7 linked regions of the Callithrix jacchus genome follow. The protein of the gene in region 4 interacts with the protein of the main gene of each other region in a biochemical or structural test. Links are inferred from orthologs where the notes say so. Each region holds a gene or a part of one and is shown on either strand. Other genes may lie near its edges. The genes, in order: WWP1, OTUD1, CDC34, UBC, RNF126, UBASH3A and torsin-1A-interacting protein 2.

Region 1 (3,955 bases), on a different chromosome or scaffold from region 4:
AAAATTAGCCAAGTGTGGTGGGAAGTGCCTGTGTTTGCAGCTACTCGAGAGACTGAGGCAGGAGAATCTCTTGAGCCTGGAAGGTGGGAGTTGCAATGAGCCTGGAAGGAGTGAAAGAAATTCTACCTCAGGAAAAAAAAAAAGCTCCAAGTAATTCTGAGATGGGTGCCATGGATGACCTTCAGATGGTCCACGGACTCTCCTAAAACTGTAGCCACAAAGCACAGGTACATATGGAAGTTTTCCAGGCCAGCAGATTTCTTAAGTTTCACCAAGAAGTAGTAATCCCCAAAAGGTTGTAAAGTAGCACACATATGCTGAGGGTAAAGCTTCATGATTTTGCTCAAAATGGTACCACGTTCTCCCAACCAACCTGGATCAGAATCTGTTACTTTTACTTTCTTCATTTGCCCTCTCATCAAATTTTGGCTATTCTACTTCCTTTCTTCCTTTCCATTCGCGTGCACCACACCTCAGACTACAACACTTGGGAGGTCTTTCTACCTCCACACGCTCCCTACCTCAACTCACACTACAGGCTGCTATCCCACTAATCCCTCTGAAACAAAGTGTTCAAATTGTTTTACTCCCAATTCAAAATCATCTGTGGAAGCCCCACCACCTAGTAAATCCAAGGTTCATAAGCCTGGCATTAAAAACAACCCATAAACTGTTCCAAATTTCTACTTCATGTTTTATCACCCTTTATCCAAATACAAATAACACTATGTTCCACCCAAACATAATTACTTGCCTCTCCCCAAACAGGAACTCTGTGCTCTCTTAGAGATCCCTCTCTGCTTGGATTACCTTTCCTGCCTATCCAAAGTCATAGTGATCCTTCAAAACCACGATTTCAGAAGCCAGAAGCTCTACGAACTAACCCTCTTATCCCTACCTTGCCAAGTAAGATCTGAGCTCTACTCTCTTTGAAGTTGACTTCTGAGAGGATTTTGGTACTGTTTACGAAACGTATATATTAAAAGACAAATAGGGCATTTGTTTATAGCACTATCTACCTAATTAGTGTAAAAGCAGAAACTGCTAATCAGTTCATTTTTGTATTCCCCAAAATATCCCCCACAATTATGCAGTAAATGCCTAACATCTGTACAAGGAAGTAAAGGAAATTTCAGCCACCATGGGGTAAACAGCAAAGATTACTATCTCTTTGAAGGCAGAGACTTTATCTGTGACATTCTCTATTAGGCCGACTTCCAAAAAACATAACTAGTAATTATTGCTTTTGAAAATCCTGATGTCATAGGTCTTACCAGCAGTTTTGCATTTTAAGGTAAGAACTATCTGAAAATGTTAATAAGCTAGGTCCCAAAGAACTATTTCACATACTTTACAATTTTCAATCTGAGTAGATCCAAACACTTGGCCATTATACTTTCCATTTTTAAAATATTAACTATTTATGAAAGATGATCATTTCTAGTCGCAGCTAATTTCCAACTTGATAGCTAAAAACAAGTCACACAATACAAGAACGACTTTCTTTGCTTGCATAATACACACAGATTTGGTGAGGCAGGATTTACACATACACATGAACTCTTGTAAAAAAATAAATAAATAAAACCTGCAGATAACTGTAAACCCATGTATTTCTGGCAAAATCACCAAACGGAGAAAACAAAGACAACTGTGGATATTATTTTTTTCCCCATTACTATTACCAGTAACATTTTAAAGCAGAAACACAAAATCTTGTTCCACATTAACCTACATACAAAAAAAAAACCAAAACTGTTAAACTTTTCAAATAGAAAAAGAAAGCAAAAGCCCCTGGAAAATATTTTACTGGAAGAGTGAATGTCAAAATTATAACAGATGCTACTCTTCTTTGGTAATGAAGGTTTCATATAATTACCAGAGCAAAGAAAACTCCAAATCCACAGAGCAGAGAAGACTGTGAACAAGACTGATCATTTAAAGGTCGTAAAGGTAAGGGGCAAACAAGAAAATGAAAAATTTTATAAAAGAAAACGAAGATGAAAGGTAAGTGTGTAAGTCACAGACAAGATAAGGACTGGTAAAAAGGACTGGTAAAATCTGCAAGGTCACCGGGACCTACCAGGTCACAAAAGGTAGAGGTGGGGGTTGCGCTGGGGGGGCAGGGAGGGGAGCTGCAGAGTCGGTGAAGAACCGGGAGTGACAAAAACACGTCAGAAAAAGGCATTCCAAGGCTGGAGTCCTTGGTTTGCAACATTGAAATTGGGGTGAAAACTCAGGGCACGGGCAATGAGTCCCTATATTTGTGTTCTGAGTGAGGTAGGAAAAGGTGAAGGAAACCGAAGAGAAGGCTGAGGAAGAACCGCGGCTGCAGAGTCACGGAAACATTTAGCTCCGCTCAGGATCACTGGCACAGGCCTGTGCCAGGGCCAACTCTGGGCAAGACCCGTGACCCCACCCCAGAAAACTCCCGGCTCCCGAGCTGGAGAAGGCGGAGAAGGCAGACAAGGCAGGGTGGACCGTCCTCTCACTGCCCCTTGGAGGGTCCCGCCCGCAGGCGGACGGCGCCGGGTGCCGGGCACCGCGGCCAAGGCTCGGGGCCCGCGCCCCCTCCCTCCCCGCCCGCCTCCCCAGTCCTGCGCCCCCAGCCCCGCGCCGCGCAGTCCTTACCCGGCGCGAAGCTGTCGGCTCCCGGCAGCCGGGCGGCCACGGCAGGGACACCTCCTCCTGCGGCGGGCGCCCTCACCCTTCCGCGCCCAAGATCGCCATCTCTTAGCAGGCGCGGCGGCGGCAGCCACCCAGGCGTCGGCCCCGGCAGCCCAGGCCGCCTCAGACACTCGGAACCCGCACGCCGAGCTCGCCGACACCCGACCCTCCCCCCACCCCCACCCCGGCCACGCGCCACCCCCAGGCGACCCCACACCTCCCTTCCTCGGGAGCGCGCTGCGTGGCAGCGTCGCCGGCGCCGCGCCCCGAGCGCGCGCCTCCCCGCCGGCCCCGGCACCGCGCGCGACGCCGCGACAGCCCAAAGCCTCCAACTCCGGACCCGGAATCGGCCTCCCCCGAGCATGCGCAGCGAGGGCGCTCGGAGGCTGCCTTAGAAAACTCCGCTCCTCCGGGTCCTGAGAGCGGTCGAGCAAATGGGAGGGACAGCCAATAGCAGGGAGGGGCGGGGCCTGAACCTGTGGAAGGGGCGGGGCCGCCGCTGAGATTTGGGAAGAGGCTGTTCTAAGACCGCGCTGGGCACTGAGAACACGACTTTCCGGTAGGCGGCCGATCCCAGAGCAAGACTTCTTAAGGTCCTGGGGCAAAAGTAGGCTGTTCATAACTACTCCCTGACCTAGCTGAGGGTTTGACTTAGAACCCATTGCAAGAGTAAATAACTGCATTTATCCATGGTCATACCCGAAGACTTGCAGTCCATTATTTATTAATCAAAACCTTCATTCCCCTGCCCTCACTCACATCAGCCCAGTGATAAAGCTAATACTTCCTGAGCAAGTACACGTGTTGGCACAATTAACCCATACAGCAATCCCATAAAGTAGCGTCTACTGTCTCCATTATACAGAAAAGTCAACTGGTTTAGGAAGTGCTGTTGGTTATGTGTAGCTTTTAGAAGAAAGGCTAATGTGCAAATAGAAGTCAGTGGAACCGCATTACTTAACAGATGATCCGGTTTTCTACTTCAGAGAAGCAGAAGCCTTCAGGCATGGATTTCTACAATTTTTCCCCAATCAACTCCCCCATAGATTATCCCTACGTCCACACTTGTTTTCCTTCTGTCTGGGAGGCTAGATGTCCCTGCCCACACCACTGCCTGCTCTCCACTGAGAGCAGTCCTTTGGCACTTTTTTTTTTTTTTTTGACAGAGTTTCACTCCGTCACCAGGCTGAAGTGCAGTGGAGCGATCTCCGCTCACTGCAACCTCTGCCTCCTAGGTTCAAGCAATTATTCTTCCTCAGCCTCCCAAGTAGGTGGGACTACAGGTTTG
Region 2 (4,029 bases), on a different chromosome or scaffold from region 4:
TTTTTTGCCTTTTGAAAGAATGTAAAAGAAATACTAAGACAGTGTTCTCCTGCTATAACTGCCAAGGTTGGCTCCAGACATTTATGACATTAGTTTATAAATCTCTTAGCTGGATCCAAGAAGTTATATAAAGCAGGAGGCTTATCTTGTCACAAAATTTTATACCAAGTTAGATTCTCTTATAACAAAGTGACAAATGTAAATAAAACTGAGAGCACCAGACAATTTACACATTAACCAGGGTACAGAATAATCACTCTGTCATCGGCAAATATCAGACTTTCATTCAAGTAAGACCTGGTACTATCCCTTAAAAGAAGAAAAAAAACCTTCCCACAACCTTCTGTTAAGTATTTCTCTTTAAAAGATTCACCATTTCTAGAAAAATAATTATTTCCAACAGAACAGATTTGTTTCATCAAAATGGAATGGGCCAAACACTTGGTAACAAGAATACATCAATATCCATCTGAAATAATTATCTAAGAATTGTGAAAATCAAATTTCAACAACGTAAGAACTACCAAATCACAAACTCTGTTCAAAATAATACATTTCATATAAAGCACTTCTCTGGATTTATGCTTGAAAGCTGTCAAAATGGGACACGTCATAGATGAAGGTACACCAGTTTTTAAAAATGTTGTGCAAAAATACATTTTTATAGAAAATAGACTACCAGGAATGAACAAATTTACACTGTGAGAAAACAGCTTGCAAATTAAGTAGTGCTCACTTTATACAGCAAATTATAAATAGCAGTAAAATCACCCTAAGCTATCATGAAACATCATTTGGGTGCCCAGCAACCTTCAGCTCTGAGAAAACATTCAAAAAGATGATTAAGGCATTACACCTACAGTAAAATCTACTAGGAAGTTTGAAAGTGCTATTACCCTGATTAGAGTTCACGTGATTCTCCAAACACAAGTTATGTATGCAATTTTCCCAGGGTGTTAAGGTTTTGAGACACTTCAAGAGCATGCGTTTTGTTCAATATACATTTTAGACAGGGATATGGCCATAGATTTGGCAAGTTCTTCATCGCGTTTCCTCTGCACTTGAGTTTGTTTGCACCAGTTGTCGTACTCTGGGTTAGGATAGGAGTGATCAAATACAGCATCATAGTGTCCGTTACTGAGCCAACTGAGCCAAATACTGGGCCTCAGGGAATCCTCTGGGCCCAAATAATGAATCATGGTAGACACCGTGGGGCTCTCCAGCCTCCCTCCAGTAGTTAAGTGGATATTCACATTCAGCATCTGCCCCATGGCCAGCAACTCGGGGTACCCAGCCCATGCCCCGTCTTGGGCAGCAGCGATGAGAAACTCCCCTACGTCGCCCTCAATCAGGGGGTTGAAGTGGTCGAGATGGTCGGCGATGTAGTGCACGGTCTGCTCCCTCAGCTCTCGGTGCAGGCTCTGGTCGCCGTACACAGTCTTGCTGACAGCTCGGTACAGGCAGTTGCCGTCGGGAATGATGTGGAATCGATACTTATTTCTCTGCCGCAGGTATTTATCCTGCTTCTCCACCTCGGCCAGGTACAGGGCCAGCTTCTCGTCTCTGGGATCCGACCTGGGGACAACCACCGGCTCCACCGCGCTGCTCGGGGCAGCCTCGCTGCTCCGGCCGGGAGACACCTCGGCCTCCGGGTCGGGCCTCCGAGCCGCGTTCCCGCCAGGCGCGTCGCAGCGGTCGCCGCCCCTCTCCCAGGCCCGGGGGCCCCTCTCCGCCAGGTGCTCCTCGCCCCACGGACCGGGGCCGGCGTCGGGACTCCCCGGGGTGGGCGCGAGGCCTCGATGCTTGGCAGCGGCCAGGGCCTGGCAGTGCTCGCTCAGTCGGAAGTTCCGATCGGGCCCCTCCCGGGCCGCCTCCAAGCCCGTCTCGGGGCAGTCGGGCCGCAGCAGCTCCTCCAGGAGCCAGGCGGAAGAGCCCCGTCGCGGCGGGATGGGGGCTGCGGGCGCCGGGGCCAGCAGGAGGCAGCGGCCGCGCGGGGCGGCCGCAGAGCCCGCGGCGCCGGGAGCGGGCTCGGGCCCGTGCAGCAGGAGCCTGTCGGCGCCCAGGGCCCGCACGGTGATCTGCGCGGTGGAAGTGTAGTGCGGCGGCAGTGGCGGCTTGCAGGACGCGCTGGGCGGGCCGGCGGCTGCGGATCCGGGCGCGGTGGCCCCGGACACCACTTCGAAGCAAGAGGAGAAGGCAGGCATCTTGGCGGCGGGGACAGCGGCGGCTTCCCGGGGCTCTGTGGCCGCGGCGGGCTGGCACTCACCGGTCTCGGGCTCGGCGCCGGCGGTTCCCGGGGGCTGCAGCGAGACCTTGAAGGGGGCGGCGGCGGTGGCTGCAGGCGGCGCGGGGGCTGCGGCCGTGGGACCCGGGGCCCCGGCGGGGTAGTGGGTGCAGACGCTGCTGTAGAGCTGCATGTCCCTGCCCGCCGCTCGGCCCCTTATAGGCGCGGCGAGCCCCCGAGCGGGGGACACACCCTCCGGGCCCGGGGGAGGGGGCCGGCGGAGCGCGGTGACCAAACGGCCCCAGAATAGAGATGAGCGCCCGGTCGCCGGCCGCCGCGCGTCAGCAGCCGCGAATAGCTCCCGGGTCCCGGCCAAATTCCTGCTGCGCCACAGCGTGGGGGGAGGGCGGGGACGGGACGCGCGCTCGACCCCTGCCGGTGCGCTCGGCCTGCAGACCCTGGGCGCCTTGCCCGCTGCAGTTGCTGCGGCGGCCGCAGGGGACTCTCGGAAGAAGCTACCCACCCCGCTAGAGCGCGTCTCGCCGACAAGGAGGAGCGCGGGGCGCGCGGAGGCCCGGGAGGCGGGGCCGCGGTTGTTTACCTCAGGCCTCGCGGCCGCGTCACATGACCCCGCTGGAATGCGCGACTCGTCCGGGCGCCCGATTCAGCAGCACCGACTCGCCCCACCCACTCCGGCCCGCGCCCCGCCTCCTGTCCCGCTCCGCTGTGCCCCGCCGACGTCACGGGCGTAGTCCCCCGCGCGCGCGCGCGCACTCGCGCGCGGGCGGGGCGGAGCCGGGGGCGCTGAGGCTCAGGGGCCTGCGCAGTCTTGAGATTTCTGGCTGGGCCTCCCGCCCACGTGACTCCCGCGGACCGTTTTCCCCACCTGGGGACGGGTTTCTAAGCTGCGCCGCTCTCTGCGGTGGCTGCAGTGGATGCTGCGGGATGGGCGCTGCTTGGGGCGAGCTAGCATGCTTGGAAAGCTTGTGTGGCAGGAAAGCTTCCGGGCTGGGTGTGGAGGACGGAATGCTGCCTTAAAGCCTGTTTGGCCTCCCCATGGTATTGGGCTACCATACCTGCTTGCGTTCACCACTGCTTCTTTTCTTTTTTTCTTTATTTTTTTTAGAGATGAGGGTCCCTTCTGTCGCCCAGGCTGTAGTGCAGTGGCTCAGTCAGAGCCCACTGCACCCTTGACCTCCCGTGGCTCAAGCGATCTTCCAGCCTCAGCCTCCAGAGTAGCTGGAAACCACAGGCGTGCACCACCTCACCCAGCTAATTTTTTTTTTAAGGCGAGGGCCTCACTTCAGTTGCCCAGTCTGGTATGGAACTCCTGGCCTTAAGCTGTTTCCCGCCTCAACCTCCCAAAGTGTTAGGATTGATTACAGGCCCAAGCCACCACGCCTGGCACTACCACATCTTTTACCTTTTTTTTTCTTTTTGAGGCAAGGTCTTGCTTAGCCATCTAGGCTGAATGCAGTGACGCCATCATGCCTCGACCTCCAGGGTCCAAGCGATCCCCCTTCCTCAGCCTTGCCTTGGGTAGGGATTACAGGTGCCCAGCTAGTTTCACCACTGCGTCTTTTGTAGGCGCTTCCTTGGACTCACCTGTTAAGAGTGAGTCCTCTAGTGGATCCTCCTGCCCTGCTAAGACAAAACAAACTTTTCTGCACCTCTGACCTATGCCACCTGGTAAATATCTGACTTAGGCGAAAGCAAGGAAGCCTTTCATAAACAGCCGTTCTCAGAATACCAAAAGCATTATCACTTAGGGCCTTTTGAAAATAGGTACAATTGCTAGCCAGAGG
Region 3 (3,142 bases), on a different chromosome or scaffold from region 4:
AAGGGCGCCAAGCTTTCCCCCATGAAACAAAACGACTCCAGGGACTTCCTGATGCCAGGATGCGAGGTGCCTGCCCTGTATGCCCAGGGCCACGGCTCTCCCACCCCAAGGGTCTGCCTGGACAACGATGGAGCCCCCAGAGTGCTCAAAGGGGCAATCTGTGGCCTTGAGCCATCCCCAGATTGCTGATGGGGGCATTTGTGGCCAAGGCACCAGGATCAATGCCCAGGCGGCTGTGGCCCTGGGATGAAGCTTTGCTGGATGCCTGCAGGGGCAGCTCCTGTCCCCTGAAACACACCTGGTCACAGGGAGGAACTTCGGGGGCTTTCAGTTCACTGCAGGCTGGGGGATGCCGCCCAGGCCCGTCTGACCCCAGTTTGTGAGCTACGGGCTATGGGAAGCGGCTGCTCCCCACGCCTCCTGAGAGGCATCCCGGACCCACACCAGGCGCAGCTGGGTCCCAGCAGGCTGCCTCTCCCTCCCCACAGAGCTTCTGTGGCTTCTCATAAAGTAGTTTTATTTAGATTCCACACAAACCAAAGCAGAGAGAAGAGTTGGCCACCACGAATCTGTCCACTTGCACTGGGATGTGGCTCCGGGCCCTGGGGCCGACACGCTGGGCCGGGACCCTCAGGCCGGCAGCCGCCCACCCACGTTCCCTGCTGCGCTCCCTGTGACTCCTCTGGGCTGCAGCCAGTCTGGAAGCCGCGGCGCCTGGGCAGAGGCCGGGACTCTGTTCCCCTCCCGAGAGGACAGGTGGGCTGGCCACTCCCAAGCTGGGCCCCCGTCCACAGAGCCCCGAGTGACGTGGGTGGCGGTGGGGCAGCCCCTCTTCTCTGAAGCACATGAAAACCCAGAACAAACATGGGAAGGAGAAAAAGAGCCAAACAAAACAACCAGAGAAGGAGCACAAAACCTCTGTGAGGTAGTCTGTGGTCTAAGGATCCATACGGTCCGGCCCTAGTGAGGTGAACTCTGCGTGTTTATTTGAGCGGTGTCAGGACTCCTCGGTGCCCGAGTCGTCCTCGTCGTCCCCGAAGCAGCTGTCAGCCTCCCCCTCTGCCTCGCCGTCCTCGTAGTAGTCGTCATAGAAGAGGTCCGAGCCCTCGTCAGGCGCCGGCGCCTTGGTCTTCACGCAGTACTCGGCCAGCGTGGTGGGTACCTTCACCCCGTCACGCTCCGCGTCCACCTTGGTCCCCAGGACCTGCTTCCTGGTGGGACAGGATGGGTGAGGGCGCCACACACGGGCCTGGACCTGGCCCCTGCCCCCAACCCCCATGCCTGACGCTCATCCCAATGCTCCGCTGCGTTCAGCAACCTCGGAGGAAAACGCTCGAAGTGAGGAACTCCGGAAGGGAGACACAACAGAGGACGGGCCTGGGAAGGGCAGGAGGCGCAGGCAGGAGGCTGACGGGCGCAGTGCAGTCACATCCACCCATCCTGCTCTGAAGCACACCCCACAGGGACCCGTCAGGAGCTGGAGAAAGTCATGACACCGGGTGACAGGGAGTGCCCGTGCAGCCCCACGTCGGGGCAAAAGACTTTCCTGAGTGCAGGAGCAAAGCAAGCAGCTGGGGGTGCCTGAGGACAGGAGTCAGGACCATCCTGGAGCCGAGAACCAGCACAGGTGGGACGGGAGACGCAGAGACGGCCAGAGCCTTGCCACGCCCTCGCTAGGATTCTAAACCAAGGCAGGCCTGGCCACGCTGGCCTCTGGCAAGAAGGGAGGATGAGTTAGCACCAACTTTCCAGAGGGCATCATGGACACCAGGCCCTATAAGGATGGCCTACCCTGAGCTCCACCTCCATGACGCACATCAAGAACGTCCTTCTAGGACTCCCGGCAAGGGGCTTCTGGGTGCCCGCACAGCAAGGCCGGGCTGCACAGTGACCCCATTTGACAGAAAACAGGAACAAGGCTGCAGCCTCAGGCGATAGGCTAGGGACTGAAACCCAGCCCTCAAGCCCCATCACAGACCAAGAAGGCTCTGGCCCTGGCTGCTCCCAGGGTGACCAGGACAGCGCTGGGCCTGGCAGCTCCTGGGGTGTGTGGGTTCCACAGTGCCCGCAGAGGAGGGCAGCAGGGCGTGGACAGACAGCCCCAAGCCCAGAGCTTCCTCCTGTAGGGAGGTGGGAGGCATGGAGGGCCGACGTCTGGCCTCTAAGACGTCCCTGGGCAGACCCGGCAGATGCCGCACTTTGTTTCCCGAGCTCTCCAGCAGGCTGGACACAGAGGCTGAAGTGGGCAACGGCGCCCTGAGGCCAGCACTGAATGGGGGTGGGGGGGTGGGGCGTGGGGAGACCCAGGGGAGGTCCAGGATGGGACCTGACCTGCCAGTGGCACACCCCCAGCATGAACTGGAAGACTGTCTGGCCGTGCTGTCCAGCAAGACCAACAGCCCTGAACAAGCCGGGCTCACAGCACCTGCCCCACACAACGCAGTGGGACTCTGGCTGCCATAAGGCCAACACACACACGATTTAAAAACAAGCAGAAAGCAGCGACCACATCAGGCCACATGGGCACACGTGAGTTGGCCTGCAGGGAGTTTCGAGGGATAAAAATAGTGTGGCTTTTATTTCTGTGCTGGGATCTGAGGGGGAGGTACCTCAGGGAGGTGGCCAGGAAGAACCGGGCCAAGGAACTGGCCACATGTGCCAGGTGACACGGCTGGGCCAGGGCCGCTGAGGGCATCTGCACCGAGGGACTGCCAGGCCGGCTCCCCCCTGACCTCCAGAGGCCAGTGGGTGCTGGCAGAGCACCTCCCAGGATGCCACACAGGGGCCTGTCCACTGTGGCTGCTCAGAGCAGAGACTGCCCAGCACCACGATGCTGCCCCAGGACAACTCCACGACACCAGGTGCCAGCAAATGCAGGAGGGAGTGCAGACGGAAGGCACTGGAAGCTCGTGGGGCCCGGGCTGGGGACACACATGGATTATGGGTGCAATATTTTAAAGATTTTTTTTTTTTTTTTTTGCCTTAAAGGTTGCTTTTAAAATTCTGCTTGGCCAGGCGCAGTGGCTCACGCCTGTAATCCGAGCACCTTGGGAGGCCCAGACGGGCAGATCACAAGGTCAGAAGTTCAAAACCAGCCTGGCCAAGATGGCAAACCCCATCTCTACTAAAAATACAAAAAGCA
Region 4 (3,815 bases):
CCTATGTACTTCATTCTTTCACAGGGACCCTCTCATCACTCCCACCTTTTAATATTCCTTCTCCCTTCCTGTTACCTCACACACCCCCAACCAGTATTTTTAAGTAACTTGAAAAAGTATCTCCCAATAACCTGATTACGACAGTCTTGCTCTGTTCCCCCAGGTGGAAGTACCGTGCTGCGATCTCAAATCACTGCCAACCTCTGCCTCCTGGGTTCAAGGGATTCTCCTGCCTCAGCCTCCGGTGTAGCTGGGATTACAAGCACCTGCCACACCTTTTTGTATTTTCAGTAGAGCTGGGGTTTCACCATGTTGGCCAAGCTGGTCTTGAACCTGCGTTTTATTTGCACCCACTTTCTACAGTTCATATTGTAAATCTACCTCCCCCCATTCACTGACATTTCATGGTTACCACGGTAACATTTGCGGACTGGAAACCTTGATCCCCTTCACCCTATCTAATGCAAAAATACCTTAACTTAAAAAAAAACCCACACCAATTGGGAATGCAACAACTTTATTGAAAGAAAAGTGCAATGAGATTTGTTGAAACCTTAAAGGGGAAACTTAAACACCCCCCCTCAAGCGCAGGACCAAGTGCAGAGTGGACTCTTTCTGGATATTGTAATCAGAGAGGGTGCGCCCATCTTCCAGCTGCTTTCCGGCAAAGATCAACCTCTGCTGGTCAGGAGGGATGCCTTCCTTGTCTTGGATCTTTGCCTTGACGTTCTCAATGGTGTCACTGGGCTCGACCTCAAGGGTGATGGTCTTACCGGTCAGGGTCTTCACGAAGATCTGCATGCCACCTCGGAGACGGAGAACGAGATGAAGGGTAGACTCTTTCTGGATGTTGTAGTCAGACAGGGTGCGCCCATCTTCCAGCTGCTTTCCGGCAAAGATCAACCTCTGCTGGTCAGGAGGGATTCCCTCCTTGTCCTGGATCTTTGCCTTGACGTTCTCAATGGTGTCACTGGGCTCGACCTCAAGGGTGATGGTCTTACCAGTCAGGGTCTTCACGAAGATCTGCATGCCACCTCTGAGACGGAGGACAAGGTGCAGAGTGGACTCTTTCTGGATGTTGTAGTCAGACAGGGTGCGCCCATCTTCCAGCTGCTTTCCGGCAAAGATCAACCTCTGCTGGTCAGGAGGGATACCTTCCTTGTCTTGGATCTTGGCCTTGACGTTCTCAATGGTGTCACTGGGCTCGACCTCAAGGGTGATGGTCTTACCAGTCAGGGTCTTCACGAAGATCTGCATGCCACCTCGGAGACGGAGAACGAGGTGAAGGGTGGACTCCTTCTGGATATTGTAATCAGACAGGGTGCGCCCATCTTCCAGCTGCTTTCCAGCAAAGATCAACCTCTGCTGGTCAGGAGGGATACCCTCCTTGTCTTGGATCTTGGCCTTGACATTCTCGATGGTGTCACTGGGCTCGACCTCAAGGGTGATGGTCTTACCAGTCAGGGTCTTCACGAAGATCTGCATGCCACCTCTGAGACGGAGGACGAGGTGCAGAGTGGACTCTTTCTGAATGTTGTAGTCAGACAGGGTGCGCCCATCTTCCAGCTGCTTTCCGGCAAAGATCAACCTCTGCTGGTCAGGAGGGATGCCCTCCTTGTCCTGGATCTTGGCCTTGACGTTCTCGATGGTGTCACTGGGCTCGACTTCAAGGGTGATGGTCTTGCCGGTCAGGGTCTTCACGAAGATCTGCATGCCACCTCGGAGACGGAGGACGAGATGAAGGGTAGACTCTTTCTGGATGTTGTAGTCAGACAGGGTGCGCCCATCTTCCAGCTGCTTTCCGGCAAAGATCAACCTCTGCTGGTCAGGAGGGATGCCTTCCTTGTCCTGGATCTTGGCCTTGACATTCTCAATGGTGTCACTGGGCTCGACCTCAAGGGTGATGGTCTTACCAGTCAGGGTCTTCACGAAGATCTGCATGCCACCTCGGAGACGGAGGACAAGGTGCAGAGTGGACTCCTTCTGGATATTGTAGTCAGACAGGGTGCGCCCATCTTCCAGCTGCTTTCCGGCAAAGATCAACCTCTGCTGGTCAGGAGGGATGCCTTCCTTGTCCTGGATCTTGGCCTTGACATTCTCAATGGTGTCACTGGGCTCGACCTCAAGGGTGATGGTCTTACCAGTCAGGGTCTTCACGAAGATCTGCATGCCACCTCGGAGACGGAGGACAAGGTGCAGAGTGGACTCCTTCTGGATATTGTAGTCAGACAGGGTGCGCCCATCTTCCAGCTGCTTTCCGGCAAAGATCAACCTCTGCTGGTCAGGAGGGATGCCTTCCTTGTCCTGGATCTTGGCCTTGACGTTCTCAATGGTGTCACTGGGCTCGACCTCAAGGGTGATGGTCTTGCCGGTCAGGGTCTTCACGAAGATCTGCATTGTCTGTTTTGACAAAAAGCCAAAAACCACCAGGATTTAGCAATTTATTAGCCTTCCTAATGCTGTAAGTTAAATGTCACATTGACCCAAACAATTAAAACTTGCGTTACTTCACAAAACACACTCACCAGCCTGTTTTCAAAACCCAGGCTTCAACTCCTTACAACCGTAGGTACACAAAACCGACCGAAGACACTGAAGCCTCGCTTACCCTTCCCTCTCGGGAGGTCTGGCGCCTGTCGATTCAGGAGGTCCTACCCTAGGCCCAACCCTGCGTCCTGCGACGGAGAAGAGCCCACCGCTCACCTCCCGGCAGGTGGCCCCGCCCCGCAATTATGAGCCGACAGAACGAGAACGGGTGACGTCACCACAGAGCGAAGGCGCGCTCTCCCCCCCCCACAGCGCGCCCCATTGCCGCGCGGCCACGCGGTAACCGCTACCCCCGCAACGGACAAGACGAGCTCTCCAGTCAATCACAAACTTCACGTCAGGGTCCCCCAATGGTGCCCCAGCCCATCCCACGAGAATCAGAGCTTTCCGGCATTAGCGAAGGCCTCCAAGCCTTGAGTCCATGCCCCCCAACCTTGTTTCAACGACCTCACGGCCCGCCTCACAGGCGTCTTCCACGCAGCGCTCGGAACAGCCGCCATTTTGCTGCGTTCTCCCCACCTCAAGCCCACCTTTCTAGCGGACACAGCCGACAGCCCTCCCCAGTCTCTAGACCCGGGGCGGCAACCCGCCTCCATCCCACCTCGCGGCCGTTCGGCCCCGAAAGCCCCAGCCCGCCCAGAACCCCACTGCTCACCAAGCGGCGATGACAGCAACGGACAAACCACGAACACAACTGCACTCCCGGCTGCGACGGAACTAGCTGCACCACGCCCGGAGCGTCCTTATATAGTCATCGGCGTACACCGCCCCGAGGAGATCCCTCCGCAGAACCGCCGAGAAGGGACTATTTTTCCCCGCCTGTTCCGCTCTCTGGAAAGAAAACCAGTTCCCTAGAGTCACCCAGGTCCCGTCCTAAAATGTCCTCCTGCTGAGACTGGGGTTCTGGGCCGAGTCTGGTGGGCAGCGGGCCGCCGTCCTGAGAGGCCGGGCGGAGGGATCAAGGCACTAGCTGCGCACTGCGATTGTGACGTAGCGGCGCTCGCCGTGGGGAGGGAGCCGCCCGCGGGAGGCGCCAAAACCCGGCCCGGAACTGCGGCGCCTGGAGTCGGTGGGCGGCCGGCGTTCTTCGGCTGCGATCGTGCACCCCCTCCCTTCAGCCCCCGCGGTCGCCACGGGTCGCCAACTCGTGTTCGGTGGACGTGGGGCGGGAACTGAGCGCCTCCCGCAGAGTCGGGGTGTCCCTCCCCTCCCCCGCGACCTGCCCTGGCCCACCCCGCGAGACGGACAGGACTTTATTTTGGGTCACA
Region 5 (4,300 bases), on a different chromosome or scaffold from region 4:
CCCAGCTGCCTGGGAGAAGCCACCACACACAGGCATTCAGCCCCGGCAGGCCTCCGGGTCAGAGGCCCGTAGGGGCTTCCTGACACCAGCCTAGGTGTTTCAGCAGCAGTGGCGCCACCTCAGACTCAGCCTCGGGGCAAGCTCACCACCGGCAGAGACGCCCATTTCGAGGGTGCTGGTGGTGGCTGGGGACTTTCCCCATCACCAGATTTGGAGCAGCCTTCCTGCCCCAGAACAGGTGCGCCCAACTCCCAGCACAGAAAATCCGTTTTTGTTTCTTTTTGAGACAGCGTCTTGCTCGTCACTCAGGCTGGAGTGCGGTGGCACCGTCACAGCTCCATGCGGCCTCCACCTCCCAGACTCAAGCGCTCCTCCCACCTCAGCCCCGACAGTGGCTGGGGCTCCAGGCGTGCAACAAGACACCCACCACTTGTTTTTATGTCTTGTAGGGACAGAGTCTTGCCCTGTACAATGAAGTCCTGACACCGCCACACTGTCTACTGGCACCATGTTACGTCCTGCTCCAAAGGCACGAGCAGGTGCCCTCGGGATCACTGCAGGGTGAAGACAGGCACTCCCCTCACCCACACACCCGCTCCCTGCACTTGTTTACCAACGTTCATGACCAAATATTTGTCAGCCGCGGTTCAATGCTGGCTCCCCGGCCAGCCTATAAATTCCGTGAGAGCCAAGACCAGGACTACCAGACACCACTGAGTTTCCATGACTAAAAGAAGGTCCTCCCCAGGCCCAGTGACAATCGGAAGAGGTCAGGGTCCTCCTTGTCCGAGGCCACAGGGCCAGGAAGTGGCTCCACCACACCAGGATCCAGCCCTGTGCAGGCTCCCAGAGCAGCCAAGTATCAACAGGTCAGGGCTAGCCACCTCCAACAGCCACAACTCCAGGCTTCCCAGGACCTGTCCCAGGGCTCACACAGCTGTCAGGGGCTGCCCTACAACTCACCCTGGCAGGCAGTCTGTCAGCCAACCAACCCCTTCTGCCACGGCCAGGGGGCACAGGAAACAGGAAGGGGCAGGAGTGAGAACCCTGAGAGGCACAGCAGCAAGACAAGGCTCAGCCTCAGCTCCCTAATCTTCGCCCCACACCCAGGATTTTACTTGATTTGTTCCTCCTGCTGGGGAGGGGAAGCCCTGTGGCTTCAGCAGAGAGGAAGCCACACCTCTCTACTCTCTCCACTCCTGGCCTGTGTCACTGCTCTCCCGTCATGCCCCAACTCTAGCACTGGTTCCTCCTCCGTGACCAAGAAAGCTGCTTCTCCTGACTCCCTCCAGCCCCTTCCGGGGTCTCTGCTCCCAAGGAACGCTACTGCTTCTGGAGGGCTTGGGCGCCTCTAATGGGTCAAACCGTAGCAACAGCCGGGTGGTAATGCACAGAGAGAGCACAGAAAATCCTCAACGCCTGCAGCCTCTTCCCGTGGGCACAGGGTAGGGAGTCCAGACACGGCTCCACCTCTTGCACCTGCTCCCCTCAAGTTGGCAGCTCCCGACTGAGCAGGCTCTGCCTTTTCTGCTGAGCCACCACGGACCTCAGTTTCCCCATCTGCAGGCGTGGCTCAAAGAAATCACCACTTTCCACATTAGCCTGAGAAAGGGAAACACTGGTCACAAATGCAGACCACCGCCGGGCACGGTGGCTCACACCTGTAATCCCAGCGCGTTGGGAGGCAGGGGGATCACTTGAGCCCAGGAGTTCAAGACCAGCCTGGGCCACACAGTGAGACCCTGTCCCTAAAAATAGTAATAGGAACGCCAACTGCCGAGCCCGTTCCAGACCTGCTGACTCCGAAACCCCGGAGAAGGGGCCTGGAAATAGCACGTTCCACGAGCACCGCTCCCACCTGCCCCCAAGGTGACATCAGGTCCGCGTGGGAAACATCGCCCTAAATAAGCAGGAAGTAACACTCGGAACACCCAGGCCCGGGGTCCCCTTGAGCCAAGGGTGGCTGTAAACACTTCGAGAAAGGGTGGGCTGCTCAACCCAGCCCCGGGAAGGGAAGAACGCAGGCTCGGGTCACAAAGCCCTGCCGGAGGGCCGCGGTCGGAGCCCGGGACGGTGCCTGGAGCCTTCCGGGCCTGGGCCTGACTCCCAGGCGGCGGCCAGGGCCCCACGAGGCGAGCCTAGGGCGCCCCGGACTGCGCGCTCGGCGGGGGTCCCCTGGCGTTATTCTCGGGGTCTGCGCCCCGCCAGGCCCGGCCCGTGGCCCGCACCGCGCCCCTGGGCAATACCCTCTGCTCGCCGGGCCTCACTTTCTCCGTTTTACAGAACCAGGCTCACGGGGTTCGGAGGAGCGTTCCCACCTGGGGTCCCCGCGGCCTCTCGGATCGAGAAGGCAGAGGATGTGGGATCACCCGACCCAGCTGCGCCGCCCCGGCCAGGCCCCGCCTCCCCCCTTCCGGGCCTCAGTTTCCCGCATGTGCAGGACGGGGTTCGCGCCCGCACCGCCCGGGCTCCCCGCGGATCCACCCTGGGCCGGCGCTGTCCCCACCCTCAGTTTCCCCGTCGTGGCCACCTCGCGCGAGGAGCGGGCACCGGCGACCTCCACCCCGGCCCGGGCCTTGCCTCAGGCCTGCGGCACAGACCCTACCGCCCGCCGCCCCGGCCCGGGCCTCACCGGCAGGCGCGGGACGATCTCCACGGAGCAGCAGTGGCAGAAGTACCGTCCGGGCTGCGGCGACGCCTCGGCCATGGCCGCCGCCGCCTACTCCGTGCCGCCCGCCCCCTGCGCGGCGCCCGCCGCCGGCCGTTTGCGGCTCCCTCGCCGGCCGACGCGCCCACGCACGCTCACGCACGGCACGCACGGCACGTGGGGCGGGACGCGGGCGCGGCGTAATGCTGCGCACTCGGCGGGCGGCGGGCGGGGCGACGGTGGCCGCTGAGAGACAAACTAGGCCCGGCCGATGGGCGGGGCTCCGAGCGGGGGCGGGGTTCTGGAGGGGCGGGGTTCTGGAGGGGCGGGGCCAAGCCCCGGCGGAAGAGACGAGGAGCGAAGCCCTCCTCGCCATTCAATCCTGCCAAGGCCCTCCTTTCCTTCGGAGCTTCCCTACCTTATCGTCCTCTCCCCTCACGGTACTGCAGACCCCTGTCCCCACTGCTCCCGGGGCTCTCCAGGCGCTCTCTCCGCTCCGGGCGTCTGCACCGGCCTAGTCCCCCTACCCCGCCCGGTGCCCCTCCCCCGACGCCCACGTGGCTTTCTTCCAGGCCTTTGCTCAAATGTCAGCTCACGGGGTCTTCTCTGCCGCCCTCCTGCCCCGCGGCACTGATTCCCACCCCGTGCACTGTAAGGCCAGCCGCGCGGCCAAGGGGTGTTCGCACCCGCAGTAGCGCCTGACACCCGGCAGGCGTTCCATCAGCGCTGCGAAACGCCTGCAGACCGGGGACTCGGCTACCGGCTGTGCCTCACCGGGACCCGGGGGTCAGACAGAGGCTGAGGTCTGTGGGGTGCGGCCTTGCTTTCCAAGATGTTTTATGCCCAGGCGCCTTTGGAGGGAGGAGGAGGCAGGAAACCTAACCCCGCTTCCAAAATTAAGCAGTAGAGGCCGGGCGCGGTGGCTCACGCCTGTCGGAGGCCGAGGTGGGCGGATCACTAGGTCATGAGTTCGAGACCAGGCTGGCCGATATGATGAAACCCTGTCTTTACTAAAAATACAAAAATTACCCGGGCGTGTCAGCGCTCACCCGTAATCCCAGCTACTCAGGAGCCCGAGGCAGGAGAATCGCTTGAACCCAGGAGGCGGAGGTGGCAGTGAGCTGAGATCCAGCCACTGCACTCCAGCCTGGGCAACAGAGCAAGCAAGACTCCCTCTCAAAAAAAAAAAAAAATTTTTTTTTTTTTTAGAAAGAAAATTAAGCAGTAGAAACAGTAGCATCACCCAGCGCAGGATGATTTCTGAGGTCAGCTCTGGCCCAATCGTGCATTTATTTTTTTATTCACTCAACATTCACCGCACACCAGACCCCGTGCTGAATGCACGCAGACACCTCCAGCCCCATGAGATTGGACCGGAGGATGGGACTCGACGGTGGCCCTGGCTCTGCCTGGGGAGACAAAAAAGGTGTCCGAGGGGAAACTACATTGGATTCAGGGCTTTGAGGGATGAATAGAGTTTCGCTGGAGTTGGACATCCTGCAAAATGAGGCATTGGAGCCAGACTGTTGAGGAATTAAGAGTTGGAGACTGGGCATTTAGAGTTTGTTTTTGTTTTTGAGATGGAGCCTCGCTCTGTCGCCCAGGCTGGAGTGCAGTGGCATGATCTCGGCTCACTGCAACCTCTGCCTCCCG
Region 6 (2,863 bases), on a different chromosome or scaffold from region 4:
ATCTGCACAGAAGGGGCCGGGGCCGGTGGGATTGAGCTCCTGCATTTGCCTGCCTCAGTTCACCCATGGACTTGATGGCACCCTCTCACTTTGCTGGGTGATAGTCAAGGTTGTCCAAGATGCCACGTGTGCATCAACCTCTGTTTGTCATTCGCAAGGCCCTGGCCAGCACCTGAGCACTCTGGCAACTACAGATCAAGCTTATTCTGTGCTGGGTGACTCCAAGAGCAAGAGGACCGAGGGGCTCCTTCTCATCCGTCAGCCGCCCTAGCGCAGGTCCCCAGAGGAGGCCAGGTGAGTCATGCAGTCCTTTCTTCTCTCCTCATCCACACTGCTTACTCCTTTCTGGATTGTCTGTTTTTCTACGAGAGCTGCAAGGGGTGATAGGGTGAGCTGACTGGTAAAACCTCGGCAGGTGACCAGTGATGATGAGGACTGACCTATCCACCGGCCCCACAAGGAAGTCACCGTTTGCACAGGAGCAGGTGGGCACCGTCTCCAGGAGCACGTGGATCCTGGGTCAGCTGGATACTTGTTTTCATCCCAAGAAGGGGTGTGATAACCTGTGTCTTTGGGGTGCTTGACTTTGTGGCTCTAAGAGCCAAGAGTGAGCACGTACCTTTCTCACGAGCTGGGCAAAATCCCCGCACTCCCGAGGCGGCAGCCCCAGCAGTGGCCGAGTGCAGGAATCCAGCGCGGAGCCGTGACTCACAATTAGGATGACACCTGCTGTGGGAAACACGAACGCCTCCAGGTCAAAGCAGGCCCAGAGAGCACCTTTTATAAGACTGGGGTCCCCAAAGTGTTTGGGGCAGAGCTAGCTCAGAGTGCTCCGTACACTTTGGGGACCCCACAGTCTACCCAGAGCGACCCCTGGGCTAGGAGGTAGTGTGGCTGGTAATGGCTTAGTGACGCCTGCATCCCACCCTCGCTCGTGGATTCCTTCGCGTGCAGCAGCTGCCTGCCAGCCTCAGGGAGGCCTAGGAAGTGAACTGAGCTGCCCCCTCTCTGTGGTGGCCGCTGCCTGGGCCCCGTGTGGGATGGGGTACGGTGGCTGCTGCCCGGGCCTGAATGGCCAATTGGTTGTTTTGTTACACGAGCCTACAATGACTCGTGTACAGAACACCTGGAGACCACAGGAGGAGGGGGCTCCCTCAGGTGAGATGCGTGTCCCCGCCAGCTCGGGGGAAGGGGTGGGAAGCCAGTGCTTCTGCGTGCGCTTCATCTGGGACAAAGCAATGCTGGAGGGTCAGGAGACCTGTGTGGTGGGTCAGGAAGGGGGCTCCAAGTAGAAGTTGGTTGTTTCTCCTCTCTGTCTCTTTTGTTTCCCAGGAAACTGACTCGAATCCCTTGGACGCGGGTGGTTTGTGCTGACCCTGCTGGCCTGGGTCCCATCAGCCCATCAGCACTCAGTCCCGGGATGAGGGGTCCCGGGGCCCAGGGTGGCAGGGGGAGCGCGTGTCTATGCACCCGGTTACCGCAGCAGCAGCAATGAGCACTTTGTGGCTGGAGAATGTGGGGGCAGGGGAAGTGAAGGCATTCATAGGTTCAGAAAGTCAGCCAATCGCCGTCTCAGAGAGAATCCCCAAGCCCCAGGGGCTGTCCGTGCCGAGGATGGTGAGGCACTTACTGTCCTGCAGACGCGTGTCGACGATTTGCAGTACACTCGCTGTGCACCTGTCCACGTACTCCTGGTAGCTCTCGGCCGGCCTGAGGGCGGACAGGGGAAACGCAGGCCTGGAAGGAGGAGAGGGAGAGGCTGCTGCCCTGGCCTTTTGGTAGGATCAGGAGACGCGGCTGCAGTTAGCCAGGGAAGGAGAATGTTCTTCTGGGACGGCTCTGCCTCAAGGCTGGGCTCATGGGCAACCGGGAGGCTCTAGTTTTGTGCTGAAAACTGGCAAAGCACTAACAGTCAGTCTCCAGCACATTCTTAGTGAACACCAGGAGGGCTCTGTGATGGCAGAGTCAGACATGGGTGGAGAACAACAAAGACTCTCTTTGACCAAACTCCAGTCCAGCTCCCCTTAACCTTCTCCATGCAGGCTTGACCCTTGGGCTTCTGTGTCTGTTCTTGCAGAGTGAGTTTAGCAAGAACCTGTTACCCTCGGTCTCTGATCAAGTTCCTTGTCCTCTGCCACCCTCAAGTGACATCTGATCACCTTGGCCTGCCTCCAGCAGGAGGCCCTGTTTGTGTCAGTTTAGCAAGAATGACCCGCCTTCTCAGGAGTTTTCCAGCCACCAGCTCCTACCCTGCTCTGTGGCTACAAATCCGCACTTGTCCTTGTATTAGGAGTCGAGCCCCGTCTCCCTCCCCTGCTGCAAACCCCACTGCAGTGGTCCCTCTTGAATAAAGTCTTTCTCACCATTTTAACAGTGTCATGAAATTTTTCCTTAACAAGAACTAGAAAAGCCCCAGTGGCAGAGAACTTTAGAAGAGCACACCTGTAATCAGTGTCGATGTTGAAATGCGCCTCCCTCAGCTCCTCCACGCTCATGAGGGTTGGGCTGGTTTTGCCAGCTTCCCATTTCGTCCATTCAAATATTCCCGGCTCCACTCGTATCTTGATTTTTTTCTCCAGTTTGAGTTCTGGATTCAACAGAATACAAGTGTTTATCATCTTCAACGTCCACGCTGACCTTGCATAAGTTAAGTCTCCTTGTAGATCTCAGACTCATGCACACACTTCTAAATCATGCCTTTAAAACAATGTGATTTTCTTCAGGGCAAACACTGTTCTGTGATTAGGCACAGCCATGGTATTTCTGAGGTGAGAACTGATGAGCCGTGGGAAGGTATCAGAGGAGTGGTGACCCCCTGTGTGCCAGGAAGGGCCAGAGTCTCCTGAGAACTGGTGAGTGTCCC
Region 7 (3,500 bases), on a different chromosome or scaffold from region 4:
GAGAGAGAAAATCTCTGATGACTGAAATCTGAAGTTTTAAAGTAAAAAAGCTAATTCAATGGATTCATTTGCTTTGATTATACTTATTCTTTCAGATTTACTGAACTTCACCGTAATGTGAGACCCTAATTATAAGGAAGATAAATGTTTTAGAGACTCCAATAGTAGGGACTTATAGCAATGGAAAAATACAATGCTTCTTTAAAAAATGATGGTAAACAAATCTTTAGAGTTATATACATCCCGTGATGTGCTATTTTTAGAAGGGATTTTCTTCGTTTTTTTTCTTTCTGTCATCCAGGCTGGAGTGCAATGGTGGAATCTCAGCTCACTACAACCTCTGCCTCCCAGGTTTAAGCCCTCAGCCTCCTGAGTAGCTGGGACTACAGGCATGCGCCACCACTCCCGTCTAATTTTTGTATTATTAGTAGAGACAGGGTTTTACCACATTGGCCAGGCTGGTCTCGAACTCCTGACCTCATGATCTGCCCACCTCAGCCTCGTAAAGTGCTGTTATTATGGGTGTGAGCCACTGCATCCGGCCGATGATGATTCTTCGTAAAAAATGTAATTACAATACCTTTATCACACCTAAAATGATGAATTATAATTCCTTGGTGTCATCAAATATCTGGCATTTAGATATTGCCGATTGTGTCATAAATATTTCTTTAATGATTGGCTTATTCGAAACTGGATCTAGACATTGTGGTTCACATATTGTATTTGGTTGATGGTCTCTTAAGTTTCTTGATCAGTAAGTTAAGAGACTCCTTTTTTCCCCTTTTCTTGCCATTTATTTTAATTTCTTACTGTTATTAAAGAAACGTCTTTTGGAATTTCTCCCATCCTGCATTTTGCTGATTATATTCTTGAGGCATAATTTAATATATTCCTCTATCCCTATATTTCTTGGAAACTGGTAGGTCTAGAAGCTTGATCAGATTTCAGTTCACTTGTTTGGCAAGAATACTTCTAGGTGGTCTAGAGTACTTCCTCCTGCGTTATATTAGGAGGTAAATGATGTCTGCTTGGGTTTCCCTGTTTTCATGATGATTGGTCACTGGGTTCAGCAGTTGTCAGTCTGGCTCATCCACTATAAAAGTTCCCATCAGCCTTTGCATAAGGTTTCAGCTACCATTGATGAGCACTGCCTTTCATTAGGGAAGAAGATATGTTTAATATAACCAAAAGTTGGTTCTGACAATCTGTTGGTCATACAAATTGTTTTGTATTAGTGTTATTTTAGATTTATTGACATGTTAAGTTTTTGTTGTTGTTTAAATCACCTTTAGTGGGAGCCAACAGAAATAATGTTTAGGAAGAGTGTCTTGTAAACCATGAAAATCTATATAAATATTATTATTAAACAGAGACACTGTTAAAATATAAATTTATGGGGAATTTTTTCCAATAAGAATTATAAATTTTTATCTCAATAGACTCTCAAAAGGATTTGGAAAATGATCCATCAATAAATTCTCAGGCACAAGAGACCACAATCATAACAAGTACTGCTGAAGAAGCTCAGACCCTACACTCTGCCGCTGGTCTTAGCAAAGGCCACCAAGAGGTAGAGACAATAGGTCCAGAAAATGTAGTTACAGGTGATAAATCAGAAAGTCCAGATGAAGCAAATGTGGGGAAACATCCAAAGGATCAAATAGAGCATGAGAACAACCAGAGTTTTCTGGAGGGTGAAAAAGGGCATCACCTCCCTTCAGAAAGTCTGAGTGAAGAACCCCTGGATCCAGATCCCAGCCATTCTCCAAGTGACAAGTTAGGACGAGCAGACGAACACTTAGGGAGCAGCTCGGCAGCCCTCCCCACGGAAGTGATTGACGGAATGGGAGCACCTCAGGAACCTCCTGCTGCAGGCTCCCAGGAGGCCGAGGGTCCTGGTCATTCCAGTGCAGGGCAAGAGGGCGAGGATACACTGAGGCGGCGACTGCTGGTCCCGGGTAAGAGAACCCTCTGAACTACTCTCCTATTTTGTATGGCTCTGTTGACTGAGAACACATCAGAAGTCAGAGGCCTTCTTTCCAGAGAACTTTTGTCTATCTTTCGTAGGATTCAGGCCTTGGAGCCCTGCCCACGCTTGCACAAAACCATACGACTGAGTGGATTTTGGAATGAGGTTTCTCATCTAAGCTAATGGCTAGCTTATTCCATTATATTAAGTTGCTTCCTACACATAAACTGCATTTCTAAGCAAGGTTTTTTTTAACTGTTAATGTGATATGACAAAAAGGGACATGACTTTTAAAAAATTTGCTTTTGGCTTTTTATTTCTTATGAGAATATTTTGACGTACAATTTTTGAAATCTTACTTTTTGGGGAACTAAATGTTACATCAATCAAGAGATGGGTATATTTGAAAATGAGCATTAATTGGACAGTATCCTTAACTCAGTCACGATTCAGTTTTATAGGACTTTAAGTCAGTTAGTTTCTCTATACCTGATTTTGTCTGCCTATATGCTAAGAGGAACAAGCATGTCTTCCCTTATGAAGGTAAGCATTGCAGTGTGCTAAATCCTTAAATGGAACTCAAGAGGTGTAAATTCTAGTTGTGGCCCTATCACTTGCTAACTTGGGTGACCTTTGGAAAGTGTCTTCACTTCCTGGTGCTTCAATTTCCCATTTGTAAAACAAAGAAGTTAGACGAGAAGCTCTCACCTTCTGTGATTGTCTATGTGGATTTGTATTTTATAAGCACTTGGAAGAGCTCAGTCTGAAATGCCCATTTGCCAGTGCAGTTGTGTATGCGCCAGGTGCAATTGCATATGCCTCTAGTCCCAGTCACTTGGGATGTTGAGGTGGGAGGACTGCTTGAGCCCAGGAGTTCGAGCCTGCCGTGTGCAATGACCACCCTTGTGAATGACCTCTGCGTTCTAGCTAAAGTGCCTGGGCCATGTAGTGAGACCCCATCTCTTTAAAAAAGAATTCACTGTTAGGCAGGTTCACTGTAAGTAGAAAAAATAATGTTTTGTTTTTTGTTTTTTTTAGCTGGAGTCTCACTCTGTTGCCCAGGCTGGAGTACAGTGGCATGATCTCTGCTCACTGCAACCTCTGCTTCCTAAGTTCAAGTGATTCTCCTGCCTGAGCCTCCTGAGTAGCTGGGATTATAGGCGTGTGCCACCACGCCCAGTTAATATTTTTGTATATTTTTAGTAGAGGCGGGGTTTCATCATGTTGGTCAGGCTGGTCTTGAACTTATGACCTCGTGATCTGCCAGCCTCAGCCTCTTAAAGTGTCGAGATTACAGTCATGAGCCACTGCGCCTGGTGAAAAAATATTGTTTAAAATATCCAGTTTAGGCCAGGTGTGGTGGCTCACACCTGTAATCCCAGCACTTTGGGAGGCTGAGGTGGGTAGATCACAAGGTCAAGAGATTGAGACCATCCTGGCCAACATGGTGAAACCCCATCTCTACTAAAAATATAAAAATTAACTGGGCGTGGTAGTACACGCCTGTAGTCCCAGCTACTCGAAAGGC

Evidence for each region.
Region 1: the proteins of UBC (region 4) and WWP1 form a complex in vitro, tested with the Homo sapiens proteins (2 studies listed by BioGRID, with this or other methods). The link is inferred for Callithrix jacchus from reciprocal best matches to the Homo sapiens genes UBC and WWP1.
Region 2: the proteins of UBC (region 4) and OTUD1 form a complex in vitro, tested with the Homo sapiens proteins (2 studies listed by BioGRID, with this or other methods). The link is inferred for Callithrix jacchus from reciprocal best matches to the Homo sapiens genes UBC and OTUD1.
Region 3: of the proteins of UBC (region 4) and CDC34, one has a biochemical effect on the other in vitro, tested with the Homo sapiens proteins (10 studies listed by BioGRID, with this or other methods). The link is inferred for Callithrix jacchus from reciprocal best matches to the Homo sapiens genes UBC and CDC34.
Region 5: the proteins of UBC (region 4) and RNF126 form a complex in vitro, tested with the Homo sapiens proteins (3 studies listed by BioGRID, with this or other methods). The link is inferred for Callithrix jacchus from reciprocal best matches to the Homo sapiens genes UBC and RNF126.
Region 6: the proteins of UBC (region 4) and UBASH3A form a complex in vitro, tested with the Homo sapiens proteins (4 studies listed by BioGRID). The link is inferred for Callithrix jacchus from reciprocal best matches to the Homo sapiens genes UBC and UBASH3A.
Region 7: the proteins of UBC (region 4) and torsin-1A-interacting protein 2 form a complex in vitro, tested with the Homo sapiens proteins (2 studies listed by BioGRID). The link is inferred for Callithrix jacchus from reciprocal best matches to the Homo sapiens genes UBC and TOR1AIP2.

What each region holds. Positions count from the first base shown.
Region 1 is NC_133517.1:40,734,736-40,738,690, forward strand, and holds the start of WWP1 (NEDD4-like E3 ubiquitin-protein ligase WWP1), read right to left. Parts: upstream 2,801-3,955; 5' UTR 2,632-2,800; intron 1-2,631. UniProt on the Homo sapiens protein: E3 ubiquitin-protein ligase which accepts ubiquitin from an E2 ubiquitin-conjugating enzyme in the form of a thioester and then directly transfers the ubiquitin to targeted substrates.
Region 2 is NC_133508.1:23,883,671-23,887,699, reverse strand, and holds the start of OTUD1 (OTU domain-containing protein 1), read right to left. Parts: upstream 2,801-4,029; 5' UTR 2,418-2,800; coding exon 975-2,417; 3' UTR 1-974. UniProt on the Homo sapiens protein: Deubiquitinating enzyme that specifically hydrolyzes 'Lys-63'-linked polyubiquitin to monoubiquitin.
Region 3 is NC_133523.1:505,363-508,504, reverse strand, and holds the end of CDC34 (ubiquitin-conjugating enzyme E2 R1), read right to left. Parts: intron 1,212-3,142; coding exon 998-1,211; 3' UTR 501-997; downstream 1-500. UniProt on the Homo sapiens protein: E2 ubiquitin-conjugating enzyme that accepts ubiquitin from an E1 ubiquitin-activating protein, and catalyzes its covalent attachment to other proteins by an E3 ubiquitin-protein ligase complex. In vitro catalyzes 'Lys-48'-linked polyubiquitination.
Region 4 is NC_133510.1:128,100,836-128,104,650, forward strand, and holds UBC (polyubiquitin-C), read right to left. Parts: upstream 2,413-3,815; 5' UTR 2,398-2,412; coding exon 568-2,397; 3' UTR 501-567; downstream 1-500.
Region 5 is NC_133523.1:625,004-629,303, forward strand, and holds the start of RNF126 (E3 ubiquitin-protein ligase RNF126), read right to left. Parts: upstream 2,801-4,300; 5' UTR 2,708-2,800; coding exon 2,633-2,707; intron 1-2,632. UniProt on the Homo sapiens protein: E3 ubiquitin-protein ligase that mediates ubiquitination oF target proteins. Depending on the associated E2 ligase, mediates 'Lys-27'-, 'Lys-29'-, 'Lys-48'- and/or 'Lys-63'-linked polyubiquitination of substrates.
Region 6 is NC_133522.1:48,266,989-48,269,851, reverse strand, and holds part of UBASH3A (ubiquitin-associated and SH3 domain-containing protein A), read right to left. Parts: intron 2,588-2,863; coding exon 2,443-2,587; intron 1,738-2,442; coding exon 1,631-1,737; intron 730-1,630; coding exon 620-729; intron 1-619. UniProt on the Homo sapiens protein: Interferes with CBL-mediated down-regulation and degradation of receptor-type tyrosine kinases. Promotes accumulation of activated target receptors, such as T-cell receptors, EGFR and PDGFRB, on the cell surface.
Region 7 is NC_133519.1:23,518,208-23,521,707, forward strand, and holds part of torsin-1A-interacting protein 2, read left to right. Parts: intron 1-1,442; coding exon 1,443-1,961; intron 1,962-3,500. UniProt on the Homo sapiens protein: Required for endoplasmic reticulum integrity. Regulates the distribution of TOR1A between the endoplasmic reticulum and the nuclear envelope as well as induces TOR1A, TOR1B and TOR3A ATPase activity.